Mus musculus: one gene and its partner. The protein of the gene in region 2 purifies or fractionates together with the protein of the main gene of each other region. This does not show direct contact. Links are inferred from orthologs where the notes say so. Each region holds a gene or a part of one and is shown on either strand. Other genes may lie near its edges.

Region 1 (10,908 bases), about 54 Mb from region 2:
GATTCTTTTTACTTCCTAGAACCAGTGTGTCTCACTCTTTTGAGAGGTGACATTTCATTTTAGTATGGAGCACTGTTTAAGGCACTTAGATCATCAGGCTTTGGGGTGCTACTTGCTGAGTCAGAATCTGTCCAGGTCTGGCCTGACATGTGTGCTTTGACAAGGTCCCCTGCAGGAGAATCTGCTTAAGATCCACCAGTTTAAGTAGGTAACCCTTGGTACCTGGACTGGACTGAGATATTAGTGGCTCACATTCTAAAAAGAATTAACATTTGTGTTTCTTTTGTAGCATTAACAGTGGTAGCGTCTTCAGGGTTCGCTTCTTCCAAACCACGGCTGTGTGCAGTTAAGTACCTGATTTCTTGTGAATGGACTTTTACTGGGAAGAGAAACAACTGAGTGAGATTATTAAAGACAGAATGAGCACTTGTGGTTTTCCTGTTTTGTTTTTCCCTAGAGAATGATGTGATAACAGTCCAAACCCCAGCGTTTGCAGAGTCTGTCACAGAGGGAGATGTCAGGTGGGAGAAAGGTGAGCTTTAAGTTAAAAACTAAGGTCTCTTCATGAAGCACAGCAAGTGGGAACTGGCTCCACCTTTTCCTCACATACGCATCTACTTCCTGCCCAGTCTTGTAGGAAAGTGGTCTTTTCACACAGTGGGTTAACAGGGGCCCTGAGGCTCCCAGCCAACAGGTGTCCTTTGTCTTTCAGCTGTTGGAGATGCGGTTGCAGAAGATGAAGTGGTGTGTGAGATTGAGACAGACAAGGTGGGTTCATCCTAAGGATTTATTACAGATTACTTTTGATTATTCAGTCGTATGTAGTATGTACACTAGTAACTTGAATCAGTAGCTACTTTGTTTGCTTTGTGGTTCCTGGGCTGCTTTCAGTCTTCTTCCTTGTATCACTTGGAAACATAGTAACTAAAGCATGTTTTAATGTTTCTAAGAAAAGACAGAAGGTGAATCCTCAAGATAGCAATCACTTGTCTTTTTCTGACTGAAAACATGGCCTTAGGTATTTCTGTGTGCAGAGGAGATGTAATATCCAGGTGTAACAGTGTTGTAACTCTTTCTACTCATCCTGCTTGACTAATGCAATACTATACAAATGCCGATAGGATACAAATGCCGGACTCTGTCTCCATTTCTTTCCTTTCCAGACTTCTGTGCAGGTTCCGTCGCCAGCAAATGGCATCATTGAAGCTCTTTTGGTACCCGATGGGGGCAAAGTTGAAGGAGGAACTCCTCTGTTCACACTCAGGAAAACTGGTGGTAAAGAAGTTCTTTTTCCTGGTGGTTAAGGTCTCCAGTGTTTCCTGGTGGGATTGAGGCTGAGCATACTGTCCTAGCAACTCCCCTGCCTCTGACTGGCATTCTAGTTACACCTTTAGTTGAAGGGTAGAAGAAATCCTGTTGATGGATGGTGAACTTTCATTGTCAAGTTCTAAGCCAACAGGGTAATTTTAAAAACCCACAATACTCTGTTCTTTCCATATTTCTCAGATTGGATCTTTTTCTTAAAGAACTAACAGGGGGTTGGGGATTTAGCTCAGTGGTAGAAAGCTTGCCTAGCAAGCACAAGGCCCTGGGTTTGGTCCTCGGCTCCAAGGGGGTAGGGGTGGAGGTGACAGGGATGGGGGGACGGGGATGGACGGACAGACGGTCAGACTAGCAGAAGTCAGGTATCTGAAGAGAGTAGTTTCCCTGCACTGACCTGGATCACATGGAGCTTTAAAAAAGATACAAATGAAAAGGCTTCCAGCTCCTGAGATTTCTGATTTACCACCTTGCTATAATAGTTGGATTGTTGTTAGTTTTGTAGCATTCTCCTAAGTGATTCTGACATATAGTCAGGCCTGAGAGCCACTGTGTTGACAATTGAGTGTAGTTTCCTTTTTTCTTTACAATTACATTTGTGTGTGTGTGTGTGTGTGTGTGTGTGTGTGTGTGTATCTGTGTGGGGAGTGTACACACAAAGGCACGAGTGTGGAGGTCGGTGGGTAACTTGAGAGTCAGTTTTCCCTTCCTGTCACATGGGCCCTAGCGCTCGAACTCAGGTTGTCAGACTTGGTCCTGTGTGTCTCCACCACTGAATCACCTCCTTTCCGTGTAGTTTCTTCTCACATTTTTCTCAGGAAAAATTGGCATTTCTCTTTGGAAGAAATGCCAAAGAAAGATGCCTGTACTGGACCTTATAGTCAATATTGGGGTTAGAAAATCTGTTTTTCTGACTTGTAAGTAAAGATTTTTGTAGTTAGAGTATTTAACTGTTAAGATAGTCAAGCAGAAAGATGGTAGATTAGACCATTAAAGTTGGTCAGGGCAAGATCAAGTTCAAAGTAAAGGGAAAAAAATCTGAAGTAGCTAGGATGAATACACCTGTCAGTATTCATGCTGGGACCCCTGAGACATCTTTCCAGGCGCCAAAATAACATTTTAATCAAATGCTCATTTAAGATTAAAGAGTTCAGAGGCTGGAGAGATGGCTCAGTGGTTCAGAGTAGATACTGTTCTTTCAGAGGACCCAAGTTCACTTCCCAGTGCCTACATGGCAGCTCACAGTTGTCTAAGACTCCCGCTCCACGGGTTCCAATGAGCCTTTATAGGCATCTCCATTCACGTGCACATATACACAGTTAATAATGATAAAATAATTCTTTAATTTGATTTATTTATTTAAAATAAATGTTCTTTTTTTTTAACATTCTTTTAAGAATTATTTTATGTATATGAGTCCACTGTCACTGTCTTCAGACACACCAAAAGCGGGCATTGGATCCTATTACAGATGGCTGTGAACCACTGTTATAGTTGCTGGAATTTGAACTCAGGACCTCTAGAAGAACAGTCAGTGCTCTTAACCACTGAGCTATATCCCCCACCCCCATTCCTTTTTAAAAAATTTTTAATGGTTAAGAGTATTCCTTTTGCCTGGTGGTGGCAGTGCACACCTTTGTGGATCTTTGTGAGTTTGAGGCCAGCCTGGTCTACAGAGAGTTCCAGGGGAGGGTTACACAGAGAAACGTCTTGAAAAACAAGAGAGCCGGGCATGGTGGCGCACGCCTTTAATCCCAGCACTCGGGAGGCAGAGGCAGGCGAATTTCTGAGTTCGAGGCCAGCCTGGTCTACAGAGTGAGTTCCAGGACAGCCAGGGCTACACAGAGAAACCCTTTGTTAGCTGTCTTGAAAAACAAAAACAAAAAAACCAACCAAACAAACAAAAAAACCCAAAAAACCCAAAAACAAAAGAGAAAGAGTATTTCTTGTACATGTTAACTCTAAAATAGAAGATTGTTAGCAGCGTGTCACATTTATGTGTGCATTTAAACATTTTCATTTGCTTTGTTGTTTTTGCTTAAAACAGTGGTTCTGCTGGTCACCAACCCCTTTGGAGGTTGAGTGACTCTTTCACAAGGGTCACCCAAAAACCTACGCATATCAGATATTTGTATTATGATTCATGATAGTATGAAAATTACAGTTATGAAGTAGCAATGAAGTGGCTGTGGGGGGAGGGTTTACTACCACATAAGGAACTGTATTAAAGGGTCACAGCATTAGAAAGGCTGAGAATCATTGGCTTAAGTTTTATTTCCTTGGGCTTAGTATGTGCTTTGAAAGTATTTGCTGAATTTGAAAGTCTGTAGATGTTAGTTAATATTTGTGAAATCAGGAAGGCATCTGAATCGAGCCAGCAGGACGTTTAGGGAGACCTGAGACTAGAGAGTAGTGGCTCGTGTCACTGTGTATCACTTGATGCTTTGCCTATAGCAAGGACCTAGGAGACATTTGTTTGAGGCTGGAAATAGACCTTTCTCTCTGAATCCTCTTTAGTAGCTGTGGTTAATTGCCTTCCATGGAGTGGTGCCAATGGCATTCTCTCTCTCTCTCTCTCTCTCTCTCTCTCTGTGCAGCTGCTCCTGCTAAGGCCAAACCAGCTGAAACTCCTGCTCCAGCCCACAAAGCAGAGCCCGCAGCACCGGCGGCCCCTCCTCCCCCCGCAGCACCTGTGCTCACTCAGATGCCACCAGTGCCCTCACCCTCACAGCCTCCTTCTAGCAAACCAGGTAAGACCCTGTAACAGAATACTTCACGGAGAGCTACTTAGATTTATTTTAGCTTGTTTTGAGGATGAAGAGTCCTTTATGTCAGGGAAGGTGTGGTTTCAGTGCACGGCAGATGGTCACGTGGCCATTGCAGCCAAGAAAGTTTGTCTGCTGCTCCATTCACTTTGTTAGCTAAACGCTACTCACTTCCAGACCCCAGCCCACATTACAGTGCTGCCTGTATTCACAGTAAGTCTCTCCACTCTGAGAGCAAGAATTCAGTTTCTCTGGAAAAACTGTTATAGACATGGCCAGGCTTTTATCTTCCCAGTGGTTCTAAGTCCTGTCAAATTGACAGTCAAGATTAATCCTTACAGTCTCTGACTCCCAGGGAGAAGGGACTTCGTGTCCCTCACAGTTACAGTCTGATGCCATGGCTCTGAATACACCAAGTTTGCTGAAGAACTGGGTTTGCAAACCAGCCTTCTATTTATTTGCTAACCATATGACACTAGTTTAATTACTTCTATGACTAGATTGTTCATCTGCGAGTTTGGAATGATGCTGATAAACTTTAGTATCTTGAGGGTAAAGGGTTAATACGGTGCAGAAAGTATTGCTGTCCGTGTCCGATGTAGCTGTGCACTCTCTTCATTTTCAGTGTCTGCAATAAAACCCACTGCTGCCCCTCCACTGGCTGAGGCAGGAGCTGCTAAAGGTCTGCGTTCAGAACATCGGGTAAGCCTCCGACAACTTCCAGGGAAGTGGCAGAGAGTCGCTGTGGAGAGTAATGGAGTGTGGTCACCGTTAGAAAGGGCTGGCACCTCTTTGCCTTGGCCTTGAGAAGGGGGAGAAAGTTACTTGTTCATGGTCTCGTGACTGTCAGAGGGAATAACTAGAACTCAGTGTCTCCCGAATGTTGGGGTTTCTACTGTATTGTGCTGTTGGTGAAATGCTTCCACTGAGTAAAATGTCTGCAGAGAATAGACGCACAGCCCCTCTCCCCACAGTGACACGCATGTCACAGCGGTAGTCACAGCAGTAGTCTGCTGAGCGCTCTCTCTCTCTATACTTCCGGGATATTTCGCCGCAGCTGGGGAGCCAGTGGGGCCAGATTGTTGCACTGTAGCAGTACTCTGTCAGAGGAGACAGAACCCTCAAGGAAGTATGGTCAAGAGTGTGGGTTCTTTGCCTGAGAATGCTTCCTAAAAATACCATAGCTTCAAAAGCTTGCTTTAGAGTTTCCGTTCCCCAAGTAGTTATTCTCACGCCAGTCTTTATCAAGAGAAGTCGCCCTTTCTGAAATGACTCTTAAGCTGGCTGGATCTACACCACAGTCTTCCTTTTGTAAATTGGTTTTGGTTTTTAAATCACACTATTTCCTGAGCTTCTGTTCTTGGTCAAATTTCAGGTATAGCTGAGTGAAAACCTTGGTCTCTGAGTCTGTGTTTTTGCTGGGGCTACTCCAGAAAGGGAAAGCCTCTAGCTTTAACTGTAGTGATTGAGCCCAGCACTGTGGCACATGCCATGAATCCCAGTACTTTAGGAGGTAGAGGCGGGAGGGTCTCTGGTGCTTGTCATCCATCGCTGACAGGCTGAGTCCTCTCACTGACTAGGGATGGTCTCATGGTCAACTCGTTCCACTTCCCTTTCAGGAGAAAATGAACAGGATGCGGCAGCGCATCGCCCAGCGTCTGAAGGAAGCCCAGAACACGTGTGCAATGCTGACGACTTTCAATGAGGTTGACATGAGGTGGGATCTCTAGTCCCTCTAGTCCCCACATCTGTGTTTCTAGAAGTAGAACGCGGGAACTTGCTGTAGCCCTTATCAGTGCTGCTTCCAAAACTAGCTTGACCTGGGAGAGGTATTTATTTCTCTGCTTAGCTCCTTGCTGACTTATACAGCATGACCCACTGGCTTAATTTGCTAGTTTACTTCTCTAATACTATGGAATGAATTAGAAAGCGTGTAAGAAAATAGTGAGCTTTACTGCAATGTAAAAAGCTTAGTTTTTTGGACTTTCATGCCTGAACTATTATGGTCTCTGATAAATTATCCTAGGGTAATCATTTTTGTTTAGGCTTTTATATTTACTTTTACTTATGTATATGTGTGAATTTGGAGCAGGGGTGCCAACAGAGGGCAGAAGAGGGATCCCTTAGAACTGGAGTTACAGGTCTTGGGGGCTCACTGACATGAGTACAAGCCCACATTTGGGTTCTCATAACTGCTCCAGTCCCTGTTTGGTTTTTGAGACAGGGTCTCAAATATATAGTCCTAGCTGGCCTAGAACTCACTATGTAGACCAGACTGGCCTTGAACTCACAGAGATTTGCCTGCTTGTGCCTCCCAAGTACTAGGGTTAAAAGTGTGTGCCATTATGCCCAAGCTGGTTGGTTGGTTGGTGGGTGGGTTTTGAGACAGTGTCTCATGTTGCCTGAGCTGGGCTTGAACTCTCTGTAGCTGAGGATGATGGTGATGGTGCTGCCATGTCCTGCTGCTAGTAATGGCCCACTTCTTGCTACCCCTTGGAATGGGAACCCTTCACAATGTGCCTAAAAGGACACCACACTCTCCTTCTTTCTGACAGTGATTGTTTCTTGTATAGTTCCCAAGCAACTCAGAATCTAGCAGGCAAAAGGACAGAAACCTGCCACCTCTTACTCTACCCTGTTTGGATTATGGAATTGGAACTAAATTAAGTTCCTCTGTGTGTGTGTGTGTGTGTCTGTCTGTGTCTGTGCAAGCAAGCACATACATATGTACGTGTGGGAGTGTGTAGGTGTGCATACATGCATATAAAAGCCAAAGATCAATTTCAGTTGTTGTTCCTGGGAGTCATCCACCTTGTTTATTAAGGCAGGTTTCTACTGGCCTCGAGTTTGTTAATAGGCCAAGCTGACTAGCCAGTGAGCCCCAGGGATCTGCGCGTCTCCTACGTCTATAACTCTGAGATTTCATGTGTGCCACCAAACCCAGGATGGTTTGTTTGCTTGGTTGGTTTTATATGGATTTTGGAGTTCAAACTCAGGTCTTCATGCTTACCTGGGAACGAGGATGTCTTCCCTAGCCCTAACAGTTAAACTCTAAAATGTAAAAACCCCCAGTTCACTATACCCATTCCTGTAATGGCCTAATGGTTGATTTCCTTGTTTTTTTCAAGATTTTGATATATCTAAGTATCAGCATTTTGGGAAAGAGAAAATAGTTTTATTTAACAAGTATTTTAAGTGTTTATCATATGCAGATTACTAAAGTGAAATTTAAGGAGTTATGGAGATGAGTGTAAAAGCTCTTTGGATCTTGCCGGGCGTGGTGGCGCATGCCTTTAATCCCAGCACTCGGGAGGCAGAGGCAGGCGGATTTCTGAGTTTGAGGCCAGCCTGGTCTACAAAGTGAGTTCCAGGACAGCCAGGGCTACACAGAGAAACCCTGTCTCGAAAAAAACAAACAAGCAAAAAAGCTCTTTGGATCTTGCTATCTCATTTTGGTGAACACTAAATAAAATCTAGAAGAAAAAAAAGCATCAAAAAGATAAAAATGAGTATGAAGTGGAGAAGGGAGTGTTGTTTGCTTTCGGAGTTTGAATGACAAGCATGTAAGCCAGGGAGAGTGTGTCATCTGTCATCCTGGTACTTGAGAGGTGGAGGCAACAGGACCAACAATTCAGGGTTCACCTTAGCTGCATAAAGTTCAGAATGAGAGCCTGTCTCAATTTAAAACAAAACAACATGAAAATGCTAAGTAGTGTTACATAGAAACTCATTCCAAATGGTTTTAGCAGTTTGGATCATGGCACTGTCAAGAAAATGCAAGAAACAGAAAAGATCTGGGTTGGTTTTGTTTTTGTTTTTGTTTTTGTTTTTTTTTGCCAACAGTTCACATAGGATATGAATGGTGAAGGTTGGATCTGTATTTGAATATCAGTGTAAGAATGAATTAAGTCAAAGATGACGTCTCTAAGGTACCCATCTCCCTTTGCTTTGAGTATTAAGTCTTTCCCTCTGCTTCTCAGTGAGGAAGTTTGTTTATTGGAAATGTATGTAGGGATCTGGTTAATTTTATTGGGAAGCCCATAATGTAGGGAAGGACTTTTCCTAGTGAATCACAAAGACTGCAGCCGTGTTTCCTGCATTAGCGGCAAAGTGTACACAAATTAAATTGGACTTTGAAATTTTACCCATTTCTTAAGACGAAGCATGTAAATATTTATATCTCTAAAAGATGCAGTTGGCCCAACATCCTTGATTGCAAATCTGTGTAATAGCTGGATCTTCTTTCAGTAGCCAATCTAGTGTCACTTAGCAGTGGCCTGAGACTTCCCGGGAGCCGGTAATGTGGTTTAGATCGAGTGCCCTTTGGGTCTTATGCCTATCAGCGAACCCAGAGGAGTCTTTCTGAGACTTGCCCCTTCCTCCACTGGCTCAGCGTTGCCTCCAAGGGCTAAGCTCTGAAATAGAAACTCCTTAATGACCAGAAAATGGCATCTAGGCAGGTCTGAGAACAGAGACACCCACCACGCCTCTTTCTGCAGTAATGCCTTTAGGGTGGTAATTCTAGCACTAAATGAGGTTAGACTCAGGAAAATAAACATTTTAAACCCAATCAATCCCCTCAGGAAAATTTCCTTTTTTCAAAAACAAAAGGTCTGAAGTGGGCAGTTAAAGGGTACCACATCTTATCTTTCCTGCTAATGTTGAATTAAGCCATTATAGGGGGAAAGGGAGACGTGAGCATTTGGGCCTGAGATAAAGTTCAACTCAATTTTCATCATGGAATGGTATTCCTATAATCATAGACCTTCCTGTGGGAAAACAATGGGAGAGACGTTTCTCACTAACTCTGCAATGCATATGTGTATGTGGGGGTGGGGTGGGGTGGGGTGGGGGCTAGCTTGATAGACCAGAGGATGTTCAAGTTGCAGAGTCTTCTCAGAGGCAAGCCCAGCGCTGAATCTGAAAGACAGGCCACAGCCCACACGGAGCCGCTTTCTAAATACCAAGGAAACCACAGTCGGTGAAACTAATCTTAAGGGCAGACACTGTTGTGTTGTTGTATCTTGGTGCCCAGCCCAGTCCCCCTCCCCCACACATAATGGGCATTAGTAACTGTTTCATGAGCAAGTAGAAAGAACTGCTAACTCAGAGGAAAGAGTGAGTCTGCTGACTTTGCATAAGCCGGGAAGAATATTGGACTTAGCTCCTGCGTATAATTAGTACCGTTTGGAATGGTAGTATTCATTGTGATCTTTAGATTATCTGTCACTGAAATCTGTGACTCATAGAACTAAAAGGATCTCCTTAAAAGGGCTCAACCATCTTAAGGGACAGGATGGCGCTGATTCTTCTAGGCTGGTATTTTGTGATAGAGTACTTTATTACATTGACTACTAGAGAATGTTTCAAAGCTTGAACTTAGATGCTTCAGGCCAAGGGAAAGCCCATCCATTTGTATACATGGGTGAAAACTTGTGAAAGTCCAAACTAGGGCTTTAGCTGTTCTGGTGGGTAGTACAGGCCTGCCATCCCAGCTCGTTGGGAGATTGAAGCAGAGGAAGTGCAAGTTTAAGGCTAGATCATGCAATTTCAGTACACCTAGTCTCTAGACTTTAAAAGGGTGGGATGCATCAGTAGCCCCCAGCCCCTTAGCACTGGCTCAGCTTTAACTGTATCCTCAGCCAATCAGATGTTGAAGACCATGGGGGTCCTCTTGTTTAATTTGTCCTTGTGTATCTATTAAACCTTGATCAGGGTTTCTAGAATGGCTGCAGTAGATTTTGAAAACAGACTTACCGTTATTGATTTGGGGTTCCCCAGAGATCCAGTTCACAGTTGTTGGACTCTAATACAACTGACCATTGAAAAGCGAACAACGGCTTATTGTTTTGTAACCGTGTCAGGTGAGCCCTGACATTTCAATTGAAACATGAATTGTCATTATAACTCAATGCAAATTCAACAGTTGTTGAATTATTTTAACAAATAACAGTTGGAGTTAAATTATTTTAACAAAAAATTTATTTAATGAAAAAAAAAAGGGTAGGATGCAGGGGTGGGTTGGGGAGCACGGCTCAGGAGTAAAGCCGTTGCCAGCGTTTCTCAGAGGTCCTCGACACTTAGCCTGTGGCAGTATGTGCATGTATATACACACCAGAGCTTCACCAACAGTTTCTTTGCATCATGTATTTACAGTAACATACAAGAGATGAGAGCTCGGCACAAGGATGCTTTCCTGAAAAAACATAACCTCAAATTAGGCTTCATGTCAGCATTTGTGAAGGCCTCGGCGTTCGCCTTGCAGGAGCAGCCTGTTGTAAATGCAGGTAAGTTTCCTGAGGCCAGTGTGGAAAAGACTACAGACCTGCTGCCACATTTAGGGGTCACCAAAGCTTTTTATTCACAGTCTATGGAAACATGATCACCTTCACCAAATACTAAAAGTAATGGTAACATGATTACTTTCTCTGTACCAAGTATGCAGAATTGGCACTTACTCTGGCAGTAGGCAGCTCTGGGATAGCTTGGCTTCCCAAGCTGTCTTGTCATGGGCGATCTCAAGCTCTGGCTGCTCCTCACCCCCACGCACCCTTTACTTGGAGGCTTGACTTTCATGTTTGGCATAGGCTCCAGGTTGACCTCTGACCTGGGGTTGGGGCCTCATTACGAAGGCTTGGGCTTCGTACTCATTGTCTTTCCTCTTCTCAGCGCTGAAGTGTTGATCTAGCTTGCATTTCTTGTTTTGTGTTGTGTTGAGGCACTTCTGTGTTCCTTAGAAGATAGGAGAGGGGACAGTGACACTTTGCAGTCCTCAGCCTAAAATCCTTAGTCTGTTCCCCATTGAGTGCTGTGCATTAGGCAC
Region 2 (10,908 bases):
TATGAGACCTTCTCTCAAAAAAAAAAAAAAAAAAAAAAAAGGGGGGAGTGAGAGAATAGCAGGTAGAAAGCAGACCAAGTTTAAAGAAAGAAAAGAAACAAACGGGGCTGGCGAGATGGCTCAGTGGTTAAGAGTGCCGACTGCTCTTCCAAAGGTCCCGAGTTCAAATCCCAGCAACCACATGGTGGCTCACAACCATCTGTAACGAAATCTGATGCTCTCTTCTGGAGTATCTGAGGACAGCTACAGTGTACTTACATATAATAAATAAATAAATCTTTAAAAAAAAAAAAAACAAACACCACAGAACTGAGTCACTGAGAAGGCAGAAAAACACGTTATGAAGTACAAAGAAGAGGTGAAGCCGTCACTCTTAGGGAAGACGTTACTCCCAGTAGCAGGAAGAACAACAACAGGAGAACTGTGAGACAAAGTGCTTTCAAGTCTGGAGCATGAGCATGAGGTGAGGAGTCCTGTCCAGCCCACGCTTTTTCCTGCCCGTTACTCAGGAAGTCATGTAAGGGTAGGAGAGACAGCGTGCCAGTAAGGTAGAGCACAAGCGAGGAAGTAAGTGGCCATGGCAGAGGCTAGTACTCAGCTAGGGAAACAAAGGCTCTTCAGCCAGGCTGACACCAATCCGAAGGGTCTACTTTCCTGCAGGCACAGGTATCACCCAGGGGATCGCAGAGGAAGACTATTTTTCAGTATGTCAAGGGTTATCGATAAAAAAGAGAGACCAGTTTCAATGCTCAGAAATGATGAGAAAACAAAGATGCAGACTATAAAACAAAGGGCATACTAAAGACTAATGATTTACCTAAATAAGTTATGTTAGAAGAAAAGGTGTTATCTGTTATTACTGGCAGTTTTAAGCAAAACTCAACGACTGACCTGATATGTTATACCAAAACAACAACAACAACAGCAACAAAACAAATAGAAGTAGGTTTTCTGTTTTGTTTTAAGACTCATTTTATTTTACATAAATGGGTGTTTGCCTGAATGGATGTCTGGGCACCACGTACATGCCCGGTGTCCTCAGAAGCAAGAAGAGGGCACAGACTCTCTAGAACTGGAGCAATAGATAGTTGAAAGTCACCATATGGGTGCTGGGAACTGAACCTAGCTCTTCTGCAAGAGGTACTCTTGTGCTCTTAAGCACTGAGCTATCTCTCCCTTTTGAGATGGCTACCTGAAACCTTCCCAATCTTGTCCTTTTGAGTCCCTGATAAAATAGTATGTGCTGCTAACCATTAAGCTATCCCTCTAGCCTCCAAGAAGAAGTTGTAAGTCCCTTTCAATCACAGAGCAGCAAGAAAAGGAAAATCCAGGGGTCTGGAGAATTGACAAATGGGACCTCATAAAATTGCAAAGCTTCTGTAAGGCAAAAGACACCGTCAATAAGACAAAAAGGCCACCAACAGATTAGGAAAGGATCTTTACCAATCCTAAGTCAGATATGGAACTAATATCCAATATTTATAAATATATATAAAAAGAACTCAAGAAGATGGAATCCAGAAAATCAAATAACCCTATTAAAAAATGGGGTACATCGCCGGGCGTGGTGGCGCACGTCTTTAATCCCAGCACTCGGGGGGCAGAGGCAGGCAGATTTCTGAGTTCGAGGCCAGCCTGATCTACAAAGTGAGTTCCAGGACAGCCAGAGCTATACAGAGAAACCCTGTCTCAAAAAAAAAAAACCAAAAAAAACAAAAAAACAAAAAAAATGGGGTACAGACCTAAACAAAGAATTCTCACCGGAGGAATACTAAATGGCGGAGAAGCAGCTGAAAAAATGTTCAACATCCTTAATCATCAGGGAAATGCAAATCAAAACAACCCTGAGATTCTACCTCACACCAGTCAGAATGGCTAAGATCAAAAATTCAGGTGACAGCAGATGCTGGCAAGGATGTGAAGAAAGAGGAACACTCCTCCATTGTTGGTGGGAGTGCAAGCTTGTACAACCACTCTGGAAATCAGTCTGGCGGTTCCTCAGAAAATTGGACATAGTACTGCCGGATGATCCAGCAATACCTCTTCTGGGCATATACCCAGAAGATGTTCCAACTTGTAATAAAGACACATGCTCCACTATGTTCATAGCAGCCTTATTTATAATAGCCAGAAGCTGGAAAGAACCCAGATGCCCCTCAACAGAGGAATGGATACAGAAAATGTGGTACATCTACACAATGGAGTACTACTCAGCAGTTAAAGACAATGAGTTCATGAAATTCTTGGGCAAATGGATGGATCTGGAGGATATCATCCTGAGTGAGGTAACCCAATCACAAAAGAACACACATGATATGCACTCACTGATAAGGGGATATTAGCCCAGAAACGTAGAATACCCAAGATACAATGTGTAAAACACAAGAAAATCAAGAAGAAGGAAGACCAACGTGTGGATACTTCGCTCCTTCTTAGAATGAGGAACAAAATAGCCATGGAAGGAGTTATAGAGTCAAAGTTCGGAGCTGAGACAGAAGGAACAACCATCCAGAGACTGCCCCACCTGGGGATCCATCCCATATACAACCACCAAACCCAGACACTATTGCATATACCAGCAAGATTTTGCTGACAGGACCCTGATATAGCTGTCTCTTGTGAGTCTATGCCAATGCCTGGCAAACACAGAAGAAGATGCTCACAGTCAGCTATTGGATGGAATACAGGGCCCCTAATGAAGGAGCTAGAGAAAGTACCCAAGGAGCTAAAGGGGTCTGCAACCCTATAGGTGGAACAACAATATGAACTAACCAGTACCCCCAGAGCTGTGTCTCTAGCTGCATATGTAGCAGAGGATGGCCTAGTCGGCCATCATTGGAAAGAGAGGCCCATTGGTCTTGCGAAGATTATATGCCCCAGTACAGGGGAATGCCAGGGCTAGGAAGTGGAAGTGGGTGGGTTGGAGAGCAGGGTGGGGGGAGGAAATAGGGGGCTTTGGGGATAGCATTTGAAATGTAAAGAAAATATCTAATAAAAAATTGCCTTAAAAAAAAGAAAAGGAAAATCCTTCTTACCAGTTCCACACCAATTACTCCTGCCCCAATAACAACCAGCTTCTCTGGAACTTTTTTTAAGGATAAAGCTCCTGTAGATGACACTATAGTATCTTCATCGATCTATAAAAAGAGCAAAAACAACAGTCAGAATTACTTGTGAAAACCTAGTATGACATTATCTTGATGTCATCCAATAAAATTTTACATCATTTATTTGCTTTGATGCTATCTATAGATATATCACAACTTCTTTAGCATTCACAATGCTACTCAGAAATGTTATCACTTGACAGAGACAGTCTTGCTATGTAGTCCTGGCTGCTAACCCTGCTAACCACTGACCCCATAACAATCTTCCTTTCCTGACTCTGCCTCCCACATGCTGGGATCACAGACACTCACCACCACGTTGTTTACCTTTATGTTAAACTTAAATATATTATAAAGTGTTCTATATCTTATCATAATCACTACAAAATACAGAGAAGTAACTCTGCAATGCTAAATGGTTGCCAAATTAGTGTTTCAGTCAGCATTTATAAACAGCATAAACTTATAAAAACCTGCTAGGTTGTAAGAGATGAATCAGGAAGCATAAATACCGTGATTCCAGGAAAAGGAGTAACTTCTGAGCCCGTAGCTACAAGGATGTTTTTGGTATCAATAACCTGAGTGCTGCCATCGGCTTTTGTAGCTGTAACTTGATTCTTGCCGGTTATCTTTCCAAATCCATTGACGTGAACAACCTTTATAAAGTAATGTTTACAAATTCACAATGTTTCAATGTTTTCCTGAGTAACAGGAGTAACAGGAACAATACTCTAGGTAATACAGAACATAAAATTCCTTAAAAATATACAATGCATGTAGCAGCAAAACACTATCTCAGAGACAGGTGTTTAAGGGTAGTGTAATTTTGGATTTTCTTTTGGTTTTTATTCTTTATAGGGTTTGGATTATAATAAACGCATTACATTAATTTTTAAATGTTTTAGTACTATTATAAATTAAATCAATATCCCACAGCAGGTCAAGATCATAAAACATGGCTATTAGCACAAAGCAATTATTTCATGTATATGTAAAATAAAACAGATCTGAGCACTGGACACCAACCTTATTTTGTTTGAATAAGTGAGCAATTCCCCCTGTTAATGCTTTTACTGCAGAATGCTTCTGCTCCATCATCTTCTCTAAATTCAAGCGAACTTCTGGTACTGTAATTTGTTAAATAAATCTTTTCATTATTTAAACTATGGAAGCAATATGTGATAGTTCCCAAGATCTGAAAATATTCATCTTAATGTTGATAAGACTTTGAAAAAGATAGCATTCACTTCTAAAACTTAATGACTGTCATGACCACACCTAGCAAAACCACATCATCAGGTCAAAATAACAGACCCTATCAAGCACTGTTAAATGTGCATCTGTGCCAAAAATGCAGTCCAAAACAGAAACATCCTATTTTCACTGTGGCACATTCTACAAATACTTTATGATGGTTATTAGTCTGGAAGATAGATAAAGTAAAAATGACAAAGTAGAACATCACCTGAAATTATAAATAAAAACAAAGGTTAAAACTTCATGAAACAATAACAAATATATATTTGAATATTCCAAAATATGAAAAAGCATAATGAGTTTAATCAACTAGGTTTTAAATTCATTTAACTCAGAACATTAAAGCAACAATGTAATTCAACTCAACAGAACTGCAGAGGTAAAGACATAGCAATCAGTCCATGAAGTCAACACACAGACAGACTCTTAGACATTTCTGACTGACAAAGGCCACCAAGCTAACAGGAAAAGCTTGCCTATATTGCATGTTTCCTGACACTCCTATGTCTTCTAACATCAGGGTACTTTCACAGAGTGTGACATACCTGCTGTAACATACACACATCTAATGGACCTCCTACACAGCCTCTTTCAGAAACCTACTTCTGTAAAAAGAATGCCACAAAGTGCATTATGTCTGTCTTATGTATGTATTGTCAAATATGACTGGAGAAAAAGGATAAAAACAGCCCCCCAAAGACATGGTGACTGAAGACAAAACAAACTCCATGCAAATGTCATGAATGGTCTTCTCTCGGGCCTCTCTCTGTTCCCACTCCCTCTCTCTGCTCTTTTCACAGCTCAGGTGGCCACTGTCCACTCTCCTTTCAGTCTTACCTGCAATAGCACAGCAATCCGGAATCTAGCAAGTTATGAGGGAAACAAAAAACTGACTCTTCACTGACACACACACACACACACACACACCCCCAAAAAAAAAAACAGAACTTAGGAAAAAATGTGCAAAGGCATAGAAGCTGTGATGGTAGTCTGAAGTAAACATTCTATGTAAATCTCTCCAAATTTCAAGATTTTTATCTCAGTTATCCTTCAATAAATACCTGTTCACACACACATCAGTATTTACCAAGAAAGGTCAAATACATATGGTACTAACTATAAAAGGTATACTTACTTTCAATTCCCCTAGATGCAAAATCTTTTCCGTGGGCCATATGGTAATAATGAGAATTATTTAATAAAGCCTAAAAACAGTAAGGCAAATTTACCAAATATGCATAAACAGGCTCTGTCACAAGAAAGCACTTACAAAATTACATTTCTATTTAAAATAGTACATACTACTATACAAATTCATCTTTCCTTCTCACACAATTAACCTACGATAAATAATACTGACTAAAACGTCATAGACAAACAAGAATAAAAAACAAAACAAAGCTGCTATATTCTTTAAAAGTAAAACAATAAGAACACATTTCAAGGTGGCAGGTTAAAAGGGACCTGTTTTCACAGGCAAGAATTTTAAGAACAAAAATTTTACTATTATCTTTTCGGTAGCAATGGAAAACTAAAGAGAAAGCAAAAACAAAACCAGAACAAAAAAGTCTGGGACAGGAAGAACTTCCAGAATATATGACATTCAAGAGGGTGTCAGCAATAGAAGAGTTACACAAAAAAAAAGTCGCATAAACATCTTCAGATTCCTTATAAGAACTGTATTAGACTACAAGTTGGTCTCCGTACATCTCTGCAGTCAGCAGCTAATAAAAAGCAATCTTGCAGCGTGTGAAACGCATGCTTACCTTTGAAGGAATACAACCAACGTTCAAGCATGTTCCACCTAGTGTCTCATTTTTCTCAATGCAGACTGTCTACAATCAAAGAGAACATTATTTAATAACAGGTAACATGCATGTTTTATTTCACTAAGACTCCAAATATATGTCTTAATTGGTCTGTAAAGTAAGCTACTCAATCTGTTTCTTCAGACTCAAAGTGCCCTCTGAGGGCCAATCCTGCAGAGCCAAAGCTGCTGGAGCTCCATGATACAGGGCAACAACAGGATATCGGAAAGGAGTCTCAGTGAAAAGTCAGTATTGATGGTGTAGCAGAAGCCAGAGGCCTAGAAGCAGACCGATGATTCACTGCAACGAACATCTGCCAAGTAAAGCTGTGTGGACAGAAGGGTGAACTGTGGGACACTGGCACACAAGTAAAGATGTACAGACACAAGGGTGGACTGTGGGACACTGGCACACAAGTAAAGCTGTGTGGACACAAGGGTGGTCTGTGGGACACTGGCACACTACAGCTTCCACAAGATGGTTTTCTTTTTTTATTCTTTTTTCAATTTCTTGGGGGAGGGGGTTGCAAGGGCAGAGGAGGGAATGGAGAGATGAGTGGGATTGGGGTACATGATGTAAAATTCATTTGGAATCAATAAAAAGTTTTTGTTTTGTTTTTTTTTTAAAGAACCCTTTGGGCTGGTGAGATGGCTCAGTGGGTAAGAGCACCCGACTGCTCTTCCGAAGGTCCAAAGTTCAAATCCCAGCAACCACATGGTGGCTCACACCATCCTCAACAAGATCTGACTCCCTCTTCTGGAGTGTCTGAAGACAGCTACAGTGTACTTACATATATTAATAAAATAAATCTTAAAAAAAAAAGAACCCTTTGAATTTTATCATCTGAATAATAGAAACTAGGCTAATTCTAGAGTGAATTATTCTAAAAAGATTTTTGTCCAACATTACCATATTGTTTTACTGTTAACACTGTTATCTCAAATATATTTACAAACCAAAATGAAGTATTTCAGAAAAAAAATAGCTGGCTTTTCTATACCATGAGACTTCTACACTCAATAAAGCCCATCAATATCAGGTTTACAAATAATCAATAGTTAAAAAGAATAATTTCCTGAGCTTGACAGGTGGCTCAGTTGGTTAAGAGAAGTAGCCACTCTTCCAAGGGACCTGGGTTCAATTCCCAGCATCCACACAGCAGTTCACAACTGTCTGTAACTCCAGTCCCAAAGGATCGGATGCCATCTTCTAGCCTCATGTGGGCACCACATGCGTACAGTGCACAAACACACATGAGTGCATATAAAACATCCAAAGATAAAGATGTTTTTTTTTAAAATATTTTAAAAATTATTTTCCATGTGTTTACCTGCAAAGTATTTTGTGACTAAAACCAGCTTGGTCCATAATAAAACAAAGCAGCCTCTACTTCAGGTCTACCTTACCTTAAAGCCTAACTGGGCAGATTTGATGGCAGCAACATATCCTCCAGGGCCAGAACCTATCACTGTCACGTCAGCCTCAACTGTAACAAGAACAGATTGATATAAAATGGTAAATTACTAGCATTTACCAAAATACTCCAAATAATCAGCATGTTCAATATGCCATTATTTTGTTCCAAGATGTCTGGTGTACTCTGATGCATCTAAAAATGGCACAACATTTGAGATCCCACTTTTATCTTGTAGTCATTATAAGATATGTAAATACAACTAAGTCCTAGGTTATGAACCCTATCTATATCCAGCTGCTACTTACTGGTTATTGTATGACAGATGACATAACTCCCCTATAACATAAGGAGGGCAAGGATGACATAAGAGGTTCAGAAATAAACTGACTAGCCTCAACTATCTAGTTATTGACTCCACCTTTGGTATTATTCTTCCTTCTATTTAATACAATCACATTCTTTAGTTTCAACCTTCATATATTAAAATCACAAAAAAAGCAAAGCTTTCAACCATAATGAGGTGACCTTAGGTGAATAATTTGACCTGCTTCATTTTAACCGCTCATCTGCAAAATAACCACACACACACACACACACACACACACACACACACACACCTTCCTTTATAGTGAGAATACAGAATGTTGAGGGCTGAAAATGGTTTAAACTGTCACTAGCCTTAATCTCCAAGTTATTTTGCAAACGTCTCCAATAAATATGATATACTCACTCTTATTCCAAAGTGTTCATCATCTGAAATCTTAAATTGAAACAATTCACTTTCTGAACATAATCTCAAAAACTTTTATTAGTCTTTAAGAATAAAAGAAGGATTTAAACAATTCTATTTAATAACTATAGAACCTTAGTTGTATATGACATAAGTTCAAATAATAACTATACAACTCAAATTTTTTTTTAAAAAAAGATTTATTTATTTATTTTATGTATATGAGTACTGTAGCTGCCTTCAGACACACCAGAAGAGGGTATTGGATCCCATTACAGATGGTTGTGAGCCACCATGTGGTTGCTGGGAATTGAACTCAGGACCCCTGGAAAAGCAGCAGTCAGTGCTCTTAACTGCTGAGCTATCTCTCCAGCTCCCACAACTCAAATTCTTAAGTAAAAAAAAAAAAAAATTCAGTTATTTGAGCACCAAAACAACATATGAATGATAGTGATGATGTCTATAGTCCAAAGTTGTTAATGACCAAAGAAAATACATGTCAAGAACCTAAGGTGCTGGGTACATACCAAGCACTCAGTAAATGTGGCTTGCTTTCTTAGATCTGCCTCCCACATTCTCTTAGGCCAGACTTTAGAGAATGAGCATCTAGCCTCAGTCCCATTCTGACAGCAGCCTATATTACTACCCCTTGTGCCAGATCTGACAAGGCAGCTCAGATATAATTTTCTCAGTCTTCATTAATCCCCCTGTCTGTTACTCAAACAACTCTACCTTGCTAGGTATAGCACCTACATCTTTTCAGTATTTCTCTAATCTCTTCTCCCACCCCATTCTGCACATCCATTAATACCAAGCTTCAGTAGTCAATTACATGCATAGAATTAGCTAGCCTACATATACACACTATTTCATTATCTAGAACTACATACTGACAGCATGCATTTCACAGGCCAAACACTAAGCTCTTGGAACATATAGTCACAATAATTACCCTGCCTCTTATAATCTGATTAGAGAAAAATAAAAAATTACCAAAGTCCAACCAGTAACCACAATGATATTTAAAATAAACTTGACCCTATGATGGCTCTGCTTAAAACACCTTACTGATTCCAAACTTCCTATCTGAGAAATCAACTCTCAAACTTCGATGTGTCAGCACTATGACTTTTTTAGTAGTTTAAATAGACTATGCTTCTTTCTATATTACAATAGTCACCCATTTCCACATATCCCTCTTCAGACAATGTCTGGGTTTCTTTTCTTGTTGATGTGACAAAACATAGTAACTTAAAAAAGAGTTTATTTGGGATCGACCACAGTTCAAGATACTTTAAATCCATCATGACAGGGGACACCAGGAGCTTGAAGAAGCTGGGGACATCACATCCATAAACAGCGATCTCAGCTCACTTTCTCTAGTTTATACAGTCTAGGATTCCCTGCCCAGGTAGTAATCCCCTCCACAATTAAAATGAATTTTCCCAATCAATTAATGTAATCAAGATATCTTCAAAGGCTAATCTAACCTCATGGGTAAGTCCCCAGACTTTTCTCCTAGGCGATGCCAGATGCAGGCAAGTTGACAATTAACAACAGTCATTACATATATAAACAAAAAATCCTCAAGAAAGAATTATGTAACCATTTCCTATCCACATACAGAGTTCATAAATCCCTATCCTTAGCCACTGGACTGTTTACCATGATTACAAGTATCTGTTAGATGTCTGTCTTCCTCAGGAGGACTGTGAAATACAAAGAAGCTTAATTGTGTCTGTTTAGATCACTGTTAATAACTTAGCACAAAACAAAAAAACAGCACAAAACAAAAAACTTAGCACAAAAATTAAATACTTATTGAGATACTGAATATAATAAAACAGTGAATGAAAATATGATGTAACTGCAACGAATCTGTGTCTGCTACAAGTGAACTACATCGTCCTTATCAATAGGAATAGAACCTCACACAGCCTGATGAATTTGCTTTATAAGAATATTCAAACATCTCTTAGGTGTTGAAACAGACATCCTATACAAGCTTTGATTTCCTCAAGCTGGTCAACCAATACACGTCTACGAAAGCAGAATAAAAACAATGGGTCAAGTGTCAAAAGAATTCTCCTACTTCTCTAAGAGCTTCTCTATTCATAACACAGGAAGGCTAACAGAGAAGTGTGGCCAAAGCAGGACAGGCACTAGAACTTAAGACTGTCTGAAACAAAGCTAAGCCCTGCATGTGTCAGATAAGAGTACTGGCGTTTTAGCTGGTACTACTCTGTATGGTGACCATGCTGAACATTCTGTGATACAGCAACTGAAACAGACAGGACTGCAGTTTTCTTTTATTCAGTAAGCAGGCAGTGAAGACCAACTGTGCCACCTTAGGTACTAAAGAAAAATCAGTCTTTGCCCCAGTAAAGCTTCTATTTTTGAGAGGAAAAGTTATTAAGTAAACAATTCAGCTTCATGTAAGTGTATAAAATTACTATTTCATCTATCCTAAAATATACTAATTTTATACTTATAATTTGACAATGTCAAGAGACACCCCCCCCCGAACCCCCTGATTAAAGGTTACTGTCTCTTAGTTTGTTTTTTTGTTGCTGTGATCAACATCATGAC

Evidence for each region. Proteins that work in one complex are often made in the same cells at the same time.
Region 1: the proteins of Dld (region 2) and Dlst purify together in Homo sapiens (affinity purification with mass spectrometry; 3 studies listed by BioGRID and IntAct, counting the BioPlex papers as one, with this or other methods). This does not show direct contact. The link is inferred for Mus musculus from reciprocal best matches to the Homo sapiens genes DLD and DLST.

What each region holds. Positions count from the first base shown.
Region 1 is NC_000078.6:85,118,070-85,128,977, forward strand, and holds part of Dlst (dihydrolipoyllysine-residue succinyltransferase component of 2-oxoglutarate dehydrogenase complex, mitochondrial), read left to right. Parts: intron 1-289; coding exon 290-345; intron 346-457; coding exon 458-532; intron 533-712; coding exon 713-768; intron 769-1,163; coding exon 1,164-1,275; intron 1,276-3,917; coding exon 3,918-4,070; intron 4,071-4,710; coding exon 4,711-4,787; intron 4,788-5,704; coding exon 5,705-5,802; intron 5,803-10,241; coding exon 10,242-10,372; intron 10,373-10,908. UniProt on the Homo sapiens protein: Dihydrolipoamide succinyltransferase (E2) component of the 2-oxoglutarate dehydrogenase complex. The 2-oxoglutarate dehydrogenase complex catalyzes the overall conversion of 2-oxoglutarate to succinyl-CoA and CO(2).
Region 2 is NC_000078.6:31,337,245-31,348,152, forward strand, and holds part of Dld (dihydrolipoyl dehydrogenase, mitochondrial precursor), read right to left. Parts: intron 7,659-10,908; coding exon 7,579-7,658; intron 6,200-7,578; coding exon 6,131-6,199; intron 5,570-6,130; coding exon 5,500-5,569; intron 4,235-5,499; coding exon 4,134-4,234; intron 3,764-4,133; coding exon 3,620-3,763; intron 3,138-3,619; coding exon 3,036-3,137; intron 1-3,035. UniProt on the Homo sapiens protein: Lipoamide dehydrogenase is a component of the glycine cleavage system as well as an E3 component of three alpha-ketoacid dehydrogenase complexes (pyruvate-, alpha-ketoglutarate-, and branched-chain amino acid-dehydrogenase complex).